2 linked regions of the Caenorhabditis elegans genome follow. The protein of the gene in region 2 interacts with the protein of the main gene of each other region in a pairwise test. Each region holds a gene or a part of one and is shown on either strand. Other genes may lie near its edges.

Region 1 (6,835 bases), on a different chromosome or scaffold from region 2:
TTCAAATGTTTCAAATTTAATTCGGTCGTTTCTATGAATTTTGAAATATGTAAAAATTCACTAAAAGTTTAGGACATTTTTGAAAAAATTTTCACAGTCATATTTGGTCATATATTCTAGGCGTATATTCTGTAATTTAAAGCGAAAAATTGTTTAAAAATTTTTCAGTATCAATAATCAAATTCATTCTAATCAATCGATGTTACGTCTATGCAAAACGAATCGAGAATGGGATGCTGGTTAGACAGTCGGATTTAACAAATGTGATGAAGTTTTGAAAGTTCCTTGGAAACACGTGGTGCCAGGCTGTCCCACCACGGTTTGATCTACAAAAAATGCGGCAATTTTTTGCCAAAAAAAGTGTGACGTCAGCACGTTCTTAACCATGCGAAATCAGTTGAGAACTCTGCCGCATTTTTTGTAGATCTACGTAGATCAAACCAACATGGGACACTCTGACACCACACGTTCTGAAATAAATACTTTTTTTTTCTTGATTTGCAAATACAAATTCAACAGCGAATAATTTTATTTACAAACCTGCACGCGTAAAAGATGGGATGATGATGATGATGGAAAATAATCGGGGGAGGACGAATTGTATAACAATTATTACATTCGAAAATTATTTTTTTTTAGCTCAGCTCAAAATTAAAATTCTCAAACAATCAGTGGTTTCAATGGTTTCTGAGTGGTTGCTGCTGTCTCAGCCCCTGCTGCCTCGAGAGCCTCACGTGGTGGATTGTTCTCGAAGAATTTGAGAACAGCTGCGAATGGATCCAACTCCTTCTCATGATTATCTTCAGATGATGTATGTTCAGCATCTTCTTCAGATTCCATTGGTTCAGGTGTTGTGGTGCGTTCTTCGATTCTTGGGAAGCTGTCCTCAATCACAATTGCTCCCTTTCCTTCGAGTTCTGGCTCTTCGGTGGTTGATGGGGTGGCTGAGTTGAGCTCTTTGTTGGCCGCCTGGAATATTACTCATTATGCCTCAGTGAGCACAAAACAGGGGTGGGCCGGAAATTGCCGTTCGGCAAATTTGGCAAATTGCCGGTTTGTCAATTTGCCGGAAATTTTGATTTTCGGAAAATTGCTGATTTGCCGTTTACCGAACATCAATTTGCCGGAAATTTTTAGAGAAATTTTTTATAAGACGGAAACACTTGCCTTTTTGAAATTCAAATTTTTGCCGGTTTGCCGATTTGCCAGAAATTTTAATTCCGGCAAATTGTGGTTTTGCACTTTTTTTTGGCAATTTCAGAACTTCAGAATTACAATATTAGTCGGCAAAATTGTACCGTGCCGACTATATATAAATAAACAATCTTTCTAAACACTTCCGGCAAATTGATATCCGGCAACTCGGCAAACCGGCAGAGAGCCGGAATTGAAATTTTCGGCAAATAGGTGAATTGCCCGAATTAAAACTTTTGGCAAATCGGCAAACTGCTGGAACCAGATCCGCAAATTGCCTGAACTTAAATTTTTGACAAATTGCCGAAATAGAAAATTTCCTGCAAATCGGCAAACTGGCAAAGTGCCGAAAATGAAAATTTCCGGAAAATTGGCAAACTGCCGGTATTGTAATTTCCGGTCAATCGGAAAATCGACAGATTGCCGGAACTCAAACTTCCGGCAAATTGGCAAATTGCCGGAATTGAAAATTTTCGGCAAATTGGCAAACCGGCAAGTTGCCGAAATAGAAAATTTCCTGCAAATCGGCAAACTGGCAAAGTGCCGAAAATGAAAATTTCCGGCAAATCGGCAAAATTTCCGGCAAATCGGCAGCAAATTGGTAAACCGGCGATTCGCCGATTTGCCGATTTGCCGAACCAACATGTTCCTGATGTACAAACCTCTGAATTCTTTTGCTCATCGAAAGCTGAGAAGATATCTCTGAGAATAGTATCAGAAACCTCAGCGGCATCCTCTGGCATTGGTGTGCTGCTCGTGACAACTGCTGGGAATGCAGTGTTGATGGGTGAAGCTGTGACGTCAGCAGTTCCAGATGCAGCTTCTGGAGCTGGAGTTGGAGTGATTGCTGTCCCTGATACAAGATTAATTGAAATTTTTGGGCTTTTTGCAAAAAAAACAACTAACAGATTTGACGAGTTGGTGCGTTGACTGGAATGTTCTGCGACTTCTTCTGAAGTTCCTCGTAGATCTTATCGTGAACTGATGGTTGTGGGATTGGTTGGAAGAATTGTGGAGCCTGTGGGAAACGGTCCTCAGGTTGTTGGGTCTGTTGTGGTTGCTGCTGATGCTGCTGTTGTTGTTGGGATGGGAAGAAGAATTGTTGGGGTGGTTGCTGGAATTTTTTTGATGGTTTTTTGACAAAAAAAATAGTGAAAATTTTTATCGGTTTCAGATCCCGAAAACTAAGCAAAAAACAGAGGTGGGCGGCAAACGATTTTTTTCGGCAAGCCGGCGAATTGCCGGAATTCACAATCTCTGGCTTATCGGCAAGTTGCCGGAATTAAGATTTTCCGGCACACCGGCGAAGTGCCGGAACTGAAATTTCCGGCAAGTCGACAAACTGCCGGAATTGAAAATTTCAGGCAAATCGGCAAATTGCAGGAATTGATAACTTCCGGCACATCAGCAAATTGCCGATATTAAAAATTTCCGGCAAATCGACAAACTGCCGGAATTGATAATTTCAGGCAAATTGCCGGAATTAAAAATTTCATGCAAATTGACAAATTTCCGGAATTGAAAATTTCCGGCAAATCGACAAACTGCCGGAATGGAAAATTTCCGGCAAACCGGCGAACTGCCGGAATTCATAATTTCAGGCAAATCTAAAAATTGCCGGAATTGAACATTTCCGGCAAATCGGCAAATTGCCAAAATTTACAATTTCCGGCAAATCTGCAAAATGCCGGAATTGATAATTTCAGGCAAATCGGAAAACTGTCGGAATTGAAAATTTCAGGCGAATCGGCAAATTACCGGAATTGGAAATTCCCGGAAAACCGACAAGTTGCCGGAATCAAAAGTTTCCGGCAAATCGGCTAACCGGCAAATTGCCGATTTTCAGTTGCCAATTTACTCAAAAAAAATTTGCCGAACTGCAATTGCCGCCCACCCCTGATCCAAATACGACGAAAAATTTTCGAAGTTTTTTGAAAAAAATTATGAAAAAAAAAAGCAAAAATTCAAATTTTTCAAAATGGAAAATGTGTCTAAAATCCAAATGCCAAAAAATTCGTAGCCCATCATCTAAAAATCTACAAATCGCCTTACCTGCCAGACAGTTGGTCTCTCCCATTGTTGCTGATGCATCATTGGTCTTGGCCAGAATCTCTGTCTCTGCTGCTCCTGTGGCTGTTGCTCCTGCTGTTGCCATTGGGCCTGGGCCTGAGCCTGCTGAGTCTGAGCCTGCATCTCCAACTGATGTTGTTGCCAGAAAGCTTGAGCACGCTGCTGTTGAGCATAGGTCTGTTGAGCCTCGTACTGACGACGTTGTTCCTCTTCATAGCGGGATCTCTCGGCCCATTGCTGACGGGCGGCCTCTTCCTGCATCTGTTGCTGTTGTTGTTGCATGTAGGCCATCTTCATTTGTTGTTGTTGGTAGTAGGCGGCTTGAAGTCTTCTCATTCTCATCATTCGCATTGCCATCATTTGTTGCATGTACATACGTTCCTCCATTATTTGTTGGAATTGTTGGCGGGCCTCCATCATTCGGTATTGCTGAAAAAATTGCTTTTATTGATTTATTAGACTCAAAATTGTCTGAAAATATCGAATTTCTTAATGAAACTTCTTAAAAACCTCTTGAAAAAAAAGTTATGGCAGCTCAAAAAATGGCCTAAAATTTTTAAAGCAGTTTAGCTGGCTTGAGGCGGGTAGGCATTCCCTTCAGGCAGGCCCTGGAACCGCGCCTGTCTATGGAAGCCCTACATATGCATATATATATATATATATATATATATATATATATATATATATATATATATATATATATATATATTTATATATATATATATATACAAATCCATATTTATGTATATATATGGTATAATTTGGTAACTAACCTCAATCTCATCTGGATGAAGTGGGCGATCCAAATTGGTAGAGGACTTCTCCTCAACTGATCCATCAACAGTTGTCTTCTTTTGACCTTCATTATTCGAAATATCCTCCACTACAACTACCCGAGCCAAGGGAATTGCCATCATTCCTGGATTTTCCGCAGAGTTTATAGTCTTTTCAGATGATCCATCAATTGGTTGAGCTAGAAGTGCCTCCATTTGTGGCTTGTTCACGGATGTTTCGGTTTTCTGGAATATCAATTAATTAAGTTTAAAAAAGCTTAAAATTAAAAAAAAACCCTGTACCTTGAAGAGATCAGGAGTAGCGGCGAGGAAGTAGAAACCGATGAGTGTCACCAGCAAAAGACACGTGGCAAAGAACATGCAATGGAAGCATGCTCTCATCGCCTGGAAAGCTGGCGATGGAGCAGGCTTCATTGGTGGAGCCGGCATTGGGATCACTGTGGGCTGGAGGACTGTGAACACCTGGAATAATTCAGATTTTGTTGATATTTCTACTAACGTTATTATTATTATTGTTACCGAATATATTCTTTGTGAGAAAATTTGAATTTCGCGCCAAAAAATGTTCTCAGAAAATTTGAATTTCGCGCCAAAAATTATTCTCGGATAATTTAAATTTCGCGGCAAAATACGTTTTCTCATAAAGTTTGAATTTCGAGTCAAATGTATTTTCTCATAAAACTTTAAATTAGCGCCAAAAAAATTTCTAATAAAATTTGAACTTCGCGCCAATATACGTTTTCTCAGAAAATTTGATTTTCCAGCTAAAATTTTTTTGTGAAAAATTTTGAATTTCGAGGCAAACTGTTTTTACACGTGGTGCCGGGCTGCCCCATCACGGTTTGATCTACAAAAAATGCAGGAACTTTTTTGCCCAAAAAACATGACGTCAGCCATGTTCTTAACCATGCGAAATCAGCTGAGAAGCCTGCGTCTGAAATCCCGCATTTTTTGTAGATCTATGTAGATCAAGCCGAAATGGGACACTCTGACACTACGACTTGTTACTCATAAAATTTGTAATTCGCGCCAAAACGTGATCTCTTAAAAAAAATTCGAATTTCCAGCTGAAATTTTTTTATGAGAAAATTTGAACTTCGCACTAAAAACAGTTCTCAGAAAATTTGAATATTTTTAATAGAAACTCACTTTTGGATCGATCTTGATAGACTCCTTCTCAACGTCCTCACTCCCGTGAACGCCGGGCTGTGCGCCTAGTTTGGTCATCTGTAAATGATTCTTGATTAGATATTCGAGTAAAAGACAAAAACAAAAAAAAGAGAAGAGATCAATGCGCACAATAGGAGAATTAGAGAAGCGGCTCACTTTCTCTCGCGGAGCATTAAACATTTTTGACAGGTTGGCATTCACGACTCTTCCGCGCGGTGTAGGAAAATGAACAAAAAATGATCTCCCGATGTTTTGATAGGAAGTGACACCAAGTTTTGAAGAAACACACAAAACGAGTTTTTAAAATAGCCGGCCACTTGGTTACTGTACACTTGAGAGAGGAATGACGTCATTCGTTTTTGTTTTTGACCAGAAAATCTCGATCAGATGATGATAAAGATTTCTGTGAAAAATTTTAAAATGATAAAGGATACTTTGATTTTTGATTTCTTTTCCATTTTTTGCAGCAAGGGTTTAAGGGCAGAGTATAATATACAAAGTTTGATGGTTCAGGTAAAAATAGGTAGGATGTGTTAATTCAAATGCGGAGGGTTTATTTTTCTCTTATTATAAATATTAATGTGCCTGCATACAAGGTGGAGTACGGCCTAAAATGAACAAATATCATAGTAAAGCTATTAATATAATTTCGGAACATTTTTCATTTTGAGTTAAAAAAAAAGTTCTGATTCCAGTTTTATGCTTTAATTATTTTTGAAATATTCATACATGCTGCAGATTCTTCGAAAAAATGTCTACATTTTTTTGAAATGTTTTAGTATGATTTTTGGTATTTTTAGCGCTCTGCATGATTTTTAAAAAATGTGAGTTATAATAATTTTTTTTGTAAATTTTGTGATTTTTAGTTAGTTAAACTCATATCGAGAACTGTCTTAAAACGAAAAAATTGGTGAGAAAAAGCCCGTTTGCTCTAAAAAATATTCATTTAGAACTAGTATTGGTGGGCGGCAAACTGCCGGTTTGCTGATATTCCGGAATTTTCGATTTTCGGCAAATTTCCGATTTGCCGGAAGTTTTTAGAGGGCTTTTTTATGAGACTGATAGTGAAACACGAAATTTCGAACAAAAAAAAAATGCAAAACCACAATCTGTCCGACAATTGCCGTTTTTCTGGAAAATGCGGCAAATCGGCAATTTGCCGGTTTACCGACTTGCTGAAAATTTCAATTCCGGCAATTCGCCAATTTGGCGGAAAAATTATTTACCGCCCAACCCTGATACATGCAACACTAACAGGGAAGTATGTATATACAGAAGTTTACGATACATACCGTATTTCCTCTATTAGTTTTGCACCCGCTTGCTCAACTTTGACAGCTCATATCTCAGTAGTTCTTTGTTCCATAGAAAAGTTGTCAACTGATAAAATTTTTGTGAGATGTTTTTCTATAGTTTGTAGTTTGTTAATTATTTATATGTTCAAAACAAAATGAGATATGAGCTGTCAAAGTTGAGCAAAGGGGTGCAAAACTAAAAGAGGAAATACGGTATATTCCAAATTATTTTTGTCCTATTATAAGTTATTATCGGTTTTTAATGTGGTTGCCACAATTTTAAATATTCTCCGATCAGAATTACAGTATTCC
Region 2 (4,846 bases):
TCGAGCCTTCGAAAACTGATAAAATTTCAATTCCCACGACGGCATCGTAATCTCTAGTGAGCGGCGGAATATATATATATATATATGGGAAATCATCATAAAACAAGTTTACACAGTTACGAGACCTCTCTGAAGGAGACACTGCGGTAAACAAAACTACGGAGGAGCACGGATTCGTATCTTTTTTGAAGAGAGAGAGTGAAGCGGGAAAGAAAAGGGCAATCCGAAAACGAGGTGAATCGGATTTGACGAAGTAGGCACATACACGACGGAAGTAAAGAACGAGAAGTGCTTGATACGATTTGAAAATAATGTTTTCTCCTCGTCTTGCTCGTAGATTTTTCTGGAAAAAAAGTTTGGAATTGAACTTAATAAATGGGGGGGGGGGGGGGGTACATGTGAATAAATTCGGGCTCCAAAATGAATTGATGAAGTGGAACATGGAGACAAATGCGATTACCCACCACCCCCCGGCTGATGAGCATGATGACACCCGAATGTTTGTTCGTTCTCTTCTAAATTAGGAAGTGACATACATAGAGAGACGAAATGAATATTTAATACGAGAGGGGGAAGGGGAAAAATAAACGTTAAAAATAAAAAAGAAAGGCAATACAAAAGGAAGGCAATTTGCTTGGATAAAATTGATTACAAACACGGACATAAAAGTGTATTGATCAGAGAAATATCAAAACCGGTAAGGGGAAATGAGCTCAATTTGTTGCAGATCGATTTTCTTAGCGACGCGAGGATGATGGATAAGCCGGCTGGATATCTGCTGCAGATTCCAAACGGACGTTGCTGGAAGTCGATGGAAGGCGTACTGCATTGGCCGCCGGTGCATTGTGTTTCGTCTCCTCTTTCGTGTGTTCCTCGACGAGTCGTTGGATCATACACTTGGCGTATTGAATTCGATGGAGGAACTTCTCCGGACATCCATTTTCAGCCAAGTGTGAAAATTTGTACGTGAACATGCGCTTGTTCTCATCGATGAAGGTGACAGCTTGCATGAGTGGACACAACACCATTTTAATGTGATCCTGAAAAAATAATAATTGTTATATTAAAATTAACGAGAACTCTTACATTGAAAAAGTTTATCTGAACAGTGCCGTTGGAGAGATGAAGCACAATTGCCGACTTTGTTCGGAACCAGACACGAAGCGTCGGAAGGCGAGCCAAATCGTCTCCTACTTTCCGAGTAACTTGCTGTCCTGCTTGCAACAAATGATCATTCATGTACGATCGGAAATACTTGAGAAGTGTCATCTTCTTCTGTAGGCCCGATGGTATTGCGCTTTCCATGTCGAAATAGTGCTCCTTCTCGGTTTTCTCAATATATGTCAGCTGGGTGCCAGCAGTGTCCAGCATGATTCTTGAATTATCGTTGAAAAGTACTCCAACCGAATTATCGCAAAGCTGATAACCGATTCCATACTTATCAGAGTAGTCAACCCATTTGGAAATCCAGAACACGGGAAGAGCTTCAGGCGATTGATACGAGTCTAGAGCGGCTTCTGCATCATCAATCTGAAAGTAAAATTTTTGCTATTTAAATTAAAAATGTCATTTCCTTACATCTGCGGTTGGCGTAGCCAATAAATCGTTGACTTGAGCGAGTAAATTCGACAAATAGCAGTCAGTCGGCTGTCGGTACGCCTCCATTCGGTGAGTTTGCTGCCGTTCAGAATTTCTCGACACGAGATGAGCCGGAATCGCAGAAAGTCCGGATCTACCAGCTTGGTGCGGACCACGCTGATCGATCGTGCCACTTGGAGACACATTTTCCTCTGCGTATTCATCATCGTTTAAGTGTGGGACCATCGTGAGGCACGAAACTGGAAGACGAGCAGGCATGAAGCCGGATTTGAAGAAGTGATCTCGGCATACAGCTCTGGCATTTGGACGGCGACTCGGCACTGGGTCAAGAAGCACACGAATGAGTTGAGATGCTGCAGCACTCGCCGATGTTGGGATGACGTAGTTGTTGTTTTTGATGCGCGAATAGGTCTCCTGAAATATGAAATATGATGAATTTTGCCGCAAAGAAATATAGGCGTGGCGTAATTTCGCAACTCTGCGGCAACGTTTTTTTCCTCATTTTTTAGTTGTTTTTTTTTTCAATAAAGTTTCTTTTTATCATCATTTTCAGATGAAAATGTTATCCAATCAAATTCTCATCAGATTGTGAGGATATTTCATGTTTTTACAACCAATTTAGCATAAAATAGGATAACGTTTCAAAAAAGGACATGAAACAATAAAATCGGAGAAACCGTGCCGCCTCATTGCTGCTTCTTTACCTCCAAACTCTTCGACTCGAATGGCGGATGGCCGAAAAGAAGAATGTAGAGAATGCAACCAATCGCCCATAAATCGACTTCAAAGGAGTGCCCGATTTTGTTCAAAACTTCAGCTGAAAAATAAATATTCGATTTTTGCAACGATTCTGCGTGAAACATACGTGCAATGTAATTTGGAGTTCCACAGAGTGTCTTCTTTCTCTCATCATTATCACAAGTTGTTGCCAACCCGAAATCGCCGATTTTCACTTGCAATTCATCATTGAGGAAGAGATTTCCGAGCTTCAAATCACGATGTACAATCTTTAAATTGTGCAAGTAGAGCACACCTTCCACGATTTGATATGTAAAGTAGCGGGCTTCAGGCTCTGTGACCGCTTTTCGTCGCTTATGCAGCTCCATCAACGATCTTCTTGGACACAATTCCAGCGTGATGTAGACGTTTGATTTATCCTGGAATTTTTTTAAAAATAATTAATTAATTAATACCTAATTAATAATGTACAAACCTCGAAGAAGTGATATAATTTCACAACATTGCGATGTTGGAGGTTCCTATGAATCTGCACTTCTTGAGCCATTTTGTCTCTCTGATACTGCTTGATAAGCAGCGCTTTCGGGACGACTTTTCCAGCAAACAGCTCGCCTGTAGACTTGTTCCGCAGCTCGTAGCAATGTGCGAATCCTCCTTTTCCCAAAAATTTGCCTTTTTCATAACGAGTCTTGCGTTCTCCATCGAGAATCACGTCTGGAACATCTGGCGGCGCCTTCTCCTTCTTCTGGGACTTTACCCTTGCTGCAGACGGCTGTACACGCTGCATCTGAAAAGTCGAAATGTACTGTGAAATTTGAAAAAGTAAGAGGAACACGAGAAAAAAAAAATGTCACACGGCGAAAAGAAATGAACAACGACGGAAAAAGGCAATTAATCTAGCACCGACCTTCACCCGGAATGCGCCGACAGCGCCAGGCTAAGAACAACGAGAACAATGATAAATTGTCAGCTGTGTTTATGGGCCATTTCAGTGATTATCATGATATATTGACGGGAAAAGGACACAAAAATTACGGAAATAGGGTTCAAATACCCTTTTCTATCCCGTTTTCTAATTTTAATATACGCGAGAATGTTCATTTTAGTGCTTTTTTCGTTTTCAGGGTTGAAAAACAACTTTTTATTATAAAATTGACGGGGTAAAGAAGGATTTATACCAGAATTCGTTGATAATATCTCGAAAAATCGATGAATTTCCCATTTTAAAACGAAAATTAGGAGAAAATCAACGAAAAACACGTGTGATTTTTCAAAAAACAAAGCTGCCCGCGCGCGGGTCTCGCAACGATCGCGCCTGGGTACGGTAGTCCGAACGATTTACGAGCCTCGAAAATTATTGATTTTTCTGAAAATCGAATTACATAATTAATTAATTTAATGATTGCAAAATGTTTCCATTGAATTTTGCAAAACATTTTGAAACACAAAATCTATAATTATCAATTCCCGTGCATGTAATTACCGGTTTAGTGGTCAACTGTGTGTCCTTCGCGTGATTTTTATCGTATTTTTGCTGTTACATAGATTTGTATCTTGTTACGACATTTTTGCGCAATGAAATATGTCATAAATATCTCAAAAAAAGGGAGTATTTTTGTGCATTTATTGACAAAATAAATTCAATAAGAGGAAAAATTAAAGATTCAGGTCCTTCTTCAGCTTGGCAATTTCCACGAGCTTCTCTTCTCTCTCCGCTTGATGTTTTCGAATATTCAAAGTGCTCATTTTCGGCTCCAGCTCTTCTTCAAGCTTATTAATGACTTTCTCGTCTGTGAAATCTGGAATCGGCCCCATATCCTTCAGGACCTGGAAATGCTAGCGGAAATAAAAATAAATAAAATAAAAATAAAAAGCACAAGCTTCAAGCTCCTTACCGCCGTAATTCCAGCCGCATATCTTTTAAAATAATCTCTGACACCAAACGCGTTCAAATGAACCGTTTCACAAGTCCCATTGAACGCATATCTCGGCCCTAGACCAGCTGACATCACCGCATCCACATCATTCACGCCAATGACGCCATCGGCTACCAAACGCCAGGTTTCTGCTAGCAAAGCGAATTGTAGACGATTCACAACGAATCCCAAAACTTCTTTCTTCAGCTTCACCGGCTCCTGCTTCACAGATCGCATGATCTCTGCAGCTCTATCTACAGTATCCTGTGAGGTCCACGGAGCAGGAACAAGCTCGGTAAGAGGAAGGAAGAGCGGAGGATTGACGGGGTGGACGATAAGACAACGTTCCCTGAATTAATGTTAATAGAAATAAGATAACAAAGAAGTCTATTTACTTATTTATCAGACCATCAGTGAACTTGGACGCTGGAATTGTTGACGTACTACTTGCAAGGATCGTTGTAGGATCCGCGATCTCATCAATAACTTTGTAGAATTGAATTCGAAAATTTAAATCTTCAAGTGCAGATTCCTGCATATAAATTGCATTCTTCATAACCTCATTCAACGATGTAGTGGTAGAAACTCGAAGG

The links.
Region 1: the proteins of plk-2 (region 2) and brp-1 interact in a two-hybrid assay, tested with the Caenorhabditis elegans proteins (one study listed by BioGRID).

The regions. Positions count from the first base shown.
Region 1 is NC_003281.10:12,019,002-12,025,836, reverse strand, and holds brp-1 (uncharacterized protein), read right to left. Parts: upstream 5,286-6,835; coding exon 5,208-5,285; intron 4,521-5,207; coding exon 4,341-4,520; intron 4,284-4,340; coding exon 4,038-4,283; intron 3,694-4,037; coding exon 3,247-3,693; intron 2,309-3,246; coding exon 2,101-2,308; intron 2,048-2,100; coding exon 1,857-2,047; intron 970-1,856; coding exon 661-969; 3' UTR 516-660; downstream 1-515. Other genes in the region: Y79H2A.12 (Serpentine Receptor, class BC (Class B-like)), read left to right, coding at 169-278.
Region 2 is NC_003279.8:2,755,081-2,759,926, forward strand, and holds plk-2 (Serine/threonine-protein kinase plk-2), read right to left. Parts: upstream 3,125-4,846; coding exon 2,813-3,124; intron 2,757-2,812; coding exon 2,465-2,756; intron 2,417-2,464; coding exon 2,304-2,416; intron 2,014-2,303; coding exon 1,579-2,013; intron 1,531-1,578; coding exon 1,087-1,530; intron 1,041-1,086; coding exon 738-1,040; 3' UTR 545-737; downstream 1-544. Other genes in the region: Y71F9B.9 (3-hydroxyacyl-CoA dehydrogenase), read right to left, coding at 3,994-4,164, 4,233-4,602, 4,649-4,846. UniProt on the Caenorhabditis elegans protein: Serine/threonine-protein kinase which plays a role, during oogenesis, in chromosome pairing and synapsis, by facilitating the recruitment and attachment of meiotic chromosomes to the nuclear envelope during prophase.